2 linked regions of the Saccharomyces cerevisiae S288C genome follow. The protein of the gene in region 1 interacts with the protein of each later gene in a pairwise test. Each region holds a gene or a part of one and is shown in the gene's direction. Other genes may lie near its edges. The genes, in order: URK1 and OSI1.

Evidence for each region.
Region 2: the proteins of URK1 (region 1) and OSI1 interact in a two-hybrid assay, tested with the Saccharomyces cerevisiae proteins (one large-scale study listed by BioGRID).

The regions. Positions count from the first base shown.
Region 1 is NC_001146.8:645,667-649,644, forward strand, and holds URK1 (uridine kinase URK1), read left to right. Parts: upstream 1-1,765; coding exon 1,766-3,271; downstream 3,272-3,978. Other genes in the region: DEAH-box RNA-dependent ATPase PRP2, read right to left, coding at 1-1,284; PHO91 (Pho91p), read right to left, coding at 3,362-3,978. UniProt on the Saccharomyces cerevisiae protein: Catalyzes the conversion of uridine into UMP and cytidine into CMP in the pyrimidine salvage pathway.
Region 2 is NC_001143.9:302,944-306,531, forward strand, and holds OSI1 (Osi1p), read left to right. Parts: upstream 1-2,170; coding exon 2,171-2,941; downstream 2,942-3,588. Other genes in the region: YKL070W (uncharacterized protein), read left to right, coding at 3,268-3,588.

The DNA.
Region 1 (3,978 bases):
AATTTGAAAAATAGTTGTTATAGCGGCATGTATATAGTTTGCCTCCGGCTGTAATGTGTAGTGGATATCTACAGGATATCTTCTCCCAGGAACGTTGAAAATGGGACAATTATCAAAAAACTCTGAAAATTTTTTTGCGTTCATTGTTGCTGATGATATAAGCAATTTTAAAGTGGGCCTCTGCGGCAAAATATCTTTCAGCAAACCTATCAGGATATCTGTGGCTAGAGTACGTTCATGAGCTTCATCAATCATAATACAAGAATATTTGCTTAATTTGGAATCTGTAAGAAATTCTCTTAGTAACATACCATCCGTCATATACTTTAGAACCGTTTTATTTGGGGTTGTTTTGTCTTCAAAACGGATCTGATAACCCACTTCCTTCCCAAGCACAACATTCATTTCATCTGCTACTCTTGCAGCAACAGAAGTGGCCGCCACACGACGTGGTTGTGTTATGGCAATCTGTAACTTTCCCTGATCAGTGAATCCATCTTCTACCAAATATTGGGGTAACTGTGTGGTTTTACCAGAACCGGTTTCACCCATTATAATCAAAACTTGATTTTTTTTGATCTCTTGTAGTAGCTCATCCTTGTATTGATGTACAGGCAAAAGTTTTCTTGCCTCTTGTATAGTCAGTATACGCTTTTCCTCAGTTTCTAAAGCTTGTGCTAGACGTGCCTCATATTGAAGTTTCTCTTCAGGTAGTAAATCGTCCTCCTCATTAGTATAATCAATCATTGCATCTGTGTCGAACACATAATCGTACTTGTCAGAGCCTTCCAATGTTATATCATCAGGGTGATCGCTTTGCCCCGCCATAGCATTTCGCAATTGTTGTTCTTCCCACATGCGTTGTCTGTTTATTTTGTCAATTTCTTTTGCATTCTTTATTTTATGAGTAACTTCTACGTTAAATTTAGAATTAGAAGAGGCGTACTTAGTTTCATTCTCGGAGTCACCTAGTAGACCCTTCTTTGTAGTAAGTTCATTATTTGACGTTATTTTTTCATCATACTTTGATGACTTTTTTTGTGATCCAAGTTGTTCTCCTTTTAAATTGTTCTTTTCTGGACCTTGGTTCGTATTAGAAAAAACTTTATTGGGGTCATAGCGTGATCGTTTTAGCTGCAAGGCAGAGTTCTTATCCTTGGCCTCTTTGTCTTCTTCCTCACCCAAGGAAGAAGGCTCTATTCTTACTGCATTGTCATTCTGTCTTGTAACTTCATACGTTCGTTTCACTCTTCGCTTACCGGTTTCAGATGTAATACTTGACATGTGTTGCTATACACGCTTGTTATCTATATAGATGCCAATTAAACATATAGCAGCTATCCGTTATTACTTATACAATTGATTAATATCACTTTTTAATTGTCCGGGTAACTAACTGTCTTCCACTTTCAGCACGTTCTCGTCATCAGGTTGTATGGGCTAGTACTGTTTTGGCTACATTTGAGATACGAGCACTTAAAGAATTCTTGCATATTTTCGATGATTAGTCTTTAATTTTCCCACTTGTTCTCACTATTTCCTCTATTGTCTTAATACGCTCACATATCGAAGTTTTTTTTTCATGCGATGAGCTTCGAGATGAAAAAAGGAAACTGAAAAATTTAGATCGATAAGATAAGAGATGTGATTTTTTTTTTTTTTCGTAAGGCTGTAGGCCTTGGATAACGTCTTATTTACTATTTATATGCGACATCTTCGATAATTTCATACGTTTAATTTCGAACTCGCATTTATTTTATTTATTATGTCCCATCGTATAGCACCTTCCAAAGAACGATCTTCATCATTTATTTCAATTTTAGACGATGAAACAAGAGACACATTGAAAGCTAATGCAGTCATGGATGGTGAAGTAGATGTCAAAAAAACAAAAGGAAAAAGCTCTCGGTATATCCCACCATGGACAACTCCATATATAATAGGTATAGGTGGTGCTTCAGGTTCAGGCAAGACAAGCGTTGCTGCTAAGATTGTGTCGTCAATTAATGTTCCCTGGACAGTATTAATATCTTTGGATAACTTTTACAATCCATTAGGCCCAGAGGACAGAGCCAGAGCCTTTAAAAATGAATACGATTTCGACGAGCCAAATGCCATCAACTTAGATTTGGCATATAAGTGCATTTTGAACTTAAAGGAGGGCAAAAGGACAAATATCCCAGTTTATAGCTTCGTCCACCACAATAGAGTTCCTGATAAAAATATAGTCATATACGGGGCCAGTGTGGTAGTTATCGAAGGGATCTACGCCCTTTACGATCGCCGATTGCTGGATTTGATGGACTTGAAAATTTATGTTGACGCTGATTTGGATGTCTGCTTAGCAAGAAGATTGTCGAGAGATATAGTTTCCAGAGGGAGAGATTTGGATGGTTGTATTCAACAATGGGAGAAATTTGTGAAACCAAATGCGGTAAAGTTTGTGAAACCAACAATGAAGAATGCAGATGCTATCATTCCATCGATGAGTGATAATGCTACAGCGGTAAATTTAATCATTAACCACATCAAGTCAAAACTGGAACTAAAATCAAATGAACACTTAAGAGAGCTAATCAAATTGGGCTCTTCTCCTTCACAAGATGTGCTTAATCGTAACATAATTCATGAATTGCCGCCCACCAACCAAGTTCTTTCGCTGCATACTATGCTTCTAAATAAAAATCTAAATTGCGCGGACTTTGTTTTCTACTTTGACAGGTTAGCAACAATTTTGTTATCATGGGCACTTGATGACATTCCTGTAGCACATACGAACATAATTACACCTGGTGAGCATACCATGGAAAACGTTATTGCCTGTCAATTCGATCAAGTTACAGCTGTTAATATTATTCGATCTGGCGATTGTTTTATGAAGTCTTTGAGAAAGACGATCCCCAATATCACAATTGGTAAATTGTTGATTCAGTCCGATTCACAAACTGGGGAACCTCAACTGCATTGCGAATTTTTACCCCCAAATATAGAAAAGTTTGGCAAGGTTTTCTTAATGGAAGGTCAAATCATAAGTGGTGCGGCCATGATCATGGCCATCCAGGTGCTTTTAGATCATGGTATTGATTTGGAAAAGATTAGCGTGGTGGTTTATTTGGCCACTGAAGTTGGTATCCGACGTATATTAAATGCATTTGATAACAAAGTCAACATTTTTGCTGGTATGATCATCTCCAGAGAAAAGTTACAAAATCATCAATACAAATGGGCATTGACCAGATTTTTTGATTCAAAGTATTTTGGTTGTGATTGAGAATAATTAGAGGCAATATAAAGTAAAATTAAATAATAGTGCACGTATACATACTATATTAGTAACCTTTCATTCTCTCTATGGATAATCTTAAAATCCCATTACTTTCAATATGCCATAACCTACTGTAACAATAGCGGCATAACTTAACAAACTGGCTGGTACACCTCTCGTAATAAATGTACCCACGGTCAAATATCTATCACCAACTTCATCAATCATTGAAATGGCAGTCACGTTGGGGAAACCAGAGGTTGGAAGACCCATAGCACTAGAGCATAATAGGGCGGCTATAACGATCAATAGTCTAGAATGATCACCTGAAGGTAGATTGGAACCGATCTCACTCATTAATGGTACGATGATCATTGCCGCGACGGTATGGGAGACAAAAGTGGCCATTACAAGAATCACTAGACCGAAGATCAACACAATAATGAAGATTGGTTCATGCTCAACCTGCGCCTTAATTAACTGTGCCATTGTAGACAATAAACCGGATGAGCTTACCGCCTTACCTAGGGTGGTACCTCCCATGGCCAAAACAACGATTGTCCACATGAAATTATTGAAATCATCCGAAGTTAGAAGACCTGTACCGAAGAAGACTACTATAGGTATAATAGATATGATTCCCATTTCACCAAAGATACCGGAGATTTGGTTTGAAAGACACCAAAGAACAATTGTTATAATGCAAACTAAAG
Region 2 (3,588 bases), on another chromosome or scaffold:
TCGACTCCAATTAAATCTTGGAAATTCCACGGAATAAGATTGCAATCGAAGGGTTGCAGGTTCAATTCCTGTCCGTTTCATTTTCTTTTTTTGCCATACATTTAGCGCTCCACACTCTAAATAAAGTATTTCTTCTTTTCTTGAAAATGATGTACTTAGGTTGATGAAATAGCCTCAGTTACTGGAATTTCCTTACCTTTGTCGTGTTACTGATAGTATATCTTAATCATTATTTCTTGTTTCAATCTGGATTTTGATTTGCGCGGCATATCGTTACCGCCTTTTGCATATTATAAATGGCTTATATAAGTATACAGCAACTTTCATATATTATAGATAGGTAATTGCCTCCACATCGAATCACATAGGATAAAGAACCGACTTCCTGCCGCGAATTTAGAGTTTTCACGTTATGTGACCATCTCAATTTTTAGAATATTTGCTAAGCCACTTGCTATTAAAACTTCATGGACAGGCCCCAGTATTATCGCAATAATACTGGAAACATCAACGAATGCTATAATAATGCGCATTTACTTTGGGCAAAAGAACTATTTAAAATTACGCATTACGTAGTTTATTTTGACATTATGATCATAAACATGCGCAAATCCTAAGATCGTGAATTACCTCTACTGCGAGAATACAAATTATAACATATGACTAACGTTACACAACATTGTATTACATTTCTGACTAATTTGAAGTCTGGGAGTTAATTGTAGTAGCCTACTAAATAGCGCGGTTATTTATAAAGCTAACATTACCATGTTACATGACATGCTATTTCTAGCGAGGTAAAAGCATTGCTCCGGCTTTTCGAAGATAAGTATTCCTTCAATTTCCAAATGTCACAACATAAAATTTTGATTTGCGTTATCTCTCGTTCTCTTTAATCACTACAATAGCATCAACCAAGTCAATAAAACATGTTGTGAAGAGACTACGCAGACGTGACGGTCATCTAGCAACTCTCCATCTTTTGATGCAGCCATCCACAGTTTATCGTGAGTTATGGCAAAATCCAAAAATGTACCGTACCATTTCCTCTTTAATCCTGTATTCAATAAGCAAGTTCCCCATTTCAATTGATCTACACATCACTGCGCGTTAAAGCGCACCTAATTTATTCGGTAGGAAACAGAAATAGTCTGCAAAGTCATTCAAGCACCTTTCTTTACCAAATGAAAGGATTTAATAGTACCTATGAAACAATAGTTCGAACTTTTGCCATTTCCCGGTTTTTTTGGCCAGCTTGTATAAAAGTGCACCTTACCCTTATATTGGGCTCTTATTGAATGCCTTCCGAAGAACTGACTATTCAAAAAATAGAAACAAGTACGTCAATAAAAAATTTTGCAATTCTACGAATAATTATTCCTGTTTCTTTAACCTGGTAAAAAAAAGTACAAACACTTAAGCTTTTTGAAACAGCTTTATTTTGCTTCATTAAATAGCTAGGATAAGAAATCCCTCATCCGAAAGGTTTTGTATCTAACTACCCTAGAGAACATTTGTCCTGATCAGGTTCATTTGGAGTTTATATTTTTTAGAAGCTCAAAGTTTGTTGGACTCATTACCATGGAAGAAAAAAAGAAGATACTACGAAATATTGGTTTCTCAGGTTAAATAAGGGACACCATTTTCCTATTAGGCTAGTCGAGCTTAGTTCTTCTAATTTCTTCAGATCTTCTATAATTTCCTATCTTCTACCTGATGTGTGCATGATATATCTATGAGCTCCTGATATTGCTTGTTTTACTTTAGCTTGCATGACTTGCAATAATCTAATCATATATGTTCCCGATTAATATACTGTGCACAAATTGCAGGACATATAATTTTTCCGTGGATTATATCTTCGATTAACGTCCGCGGGTCTCATAAAAAGCAAACCAACTTCGCAATTCCCTAGAAATACCTCAATAGAAAGTTATTTGTAATGAGATTAGTAATGAGATTAGCAATGAGATTAGTAATGAGATTAGTAATGAGATTAGTAATGTGATTAGTAATGCATAGCGGTATAAATGGTAGTACTAATAAGTAAGATAGTATACCAGTTATAATAAATAGGCGGCGATGCTTCAAAACTAATTTTTGACGTTTTTAAGAATAAAGCCTTTACCAGTGGCATAAATCAGTAGAATTCTAAGCAAACAAAGTCGATATGAATACTTCATCAAGAATAACTTACTTTATCATCGGTGGTAGCCGTGGAATTGGTTTTAATTTGGTCAAAATTTTAAGCGCTTCTACGGGCAATACAGTTATAACCTCTATTCGTGGATCACCTTCATTACCCAAGAACAAACAAGTGGAAGATTTAGCAAAAATCAGGAAGAATATCCATATTGTCCAACTTGACCTTACAAAGGACGAAAGTATTGGCAATATTGCGGACGAGATCAAGAAAACGCCATTCTTCTTGGGTATTGATATTTTTATCGCATGTTCTGCAGTATCTGATTCTTATTACAAGGTCCTGGAAACTCCCAAATCAGTCTGGCTCAACCATTATAGCACAAACGCTCTGGGTCCGATACTAGCCCTTCAAAAAGTTTATCCACTGCTTCTTTTGAAAAAGACGAGGAAGATATTCTTTATCTCTAGTGTTGCAGGATCTATCAATGCGTTTGTACCACTTTCTGTTTCCGCTTATGGTCAATCGAAAGCTGCCTTGAATTATGCGGTAAAGACGCTCAGTTTTGAATTGAAACCGGAGGGTTTTACTGTCGTTGCTTTTCACCCAGGTATGGTATCTACTGATATGGGCCAATATGGCCTTGATCATTTTAAAGAGAAGAATATAGACATCAGCGGCGTAAATATTATCACACCAGAAGAAAGTGCCTCTGCGCTAATTGATGTCTTCCGAAAAATTTTACCAGAAGATAATGGAAAGTTCTTCAACTATGACGGCAGCGAAGGCGTCTTTTAGATAAGTGCAAATTTGGCTACTTATATACAACTCAGATACGGAATATACCTTTGTGTAATACACTTTTTTATTGGTAGGTGCTATATGATGTGACTTTGCTTTTGCCTCACGCCCCTTTAAGAAGGTATTTTGTGGCATCACTTTGTATGCTGATCTTTTAACGCTTAACCAGATTTGAAACTATCTCTATTATGTCCTCTGATTTTAATTAGGATGGTATATAACTGGTCCTAGAACCGAAGATTCTGCATATTCGCCGAAAACCATCCCTTAATATTATAGACATAAATTGCCAGTCTGAGAAGAATCCAAGAATCTATTTCATAATGTACATTCCTAAACATTTTGAGTCCATGGAACTCTCAAGGTACAAATTATCAAAAAAACCCCCGCTAGGAACACTATTCTCCTCTAAGGCTAGCAGGCAAGGTTTCTTCGGATGGAGAACTTCTTCCAATAAAGATGACCCCGATTTTGGTATGTGCGCATCACATATTCCATTTGTATTCGTGGAGTTCGATAATGGAGAGCATAAACTTATTGCACATTTAGCACGGAAGAATAAACATGTGGAAATGCTGGAAAGAGTTCAAAAATGCTTAGTGGTATTTCAGAGCGTCGATTCATACATTTCTCCGGCGTGGTTC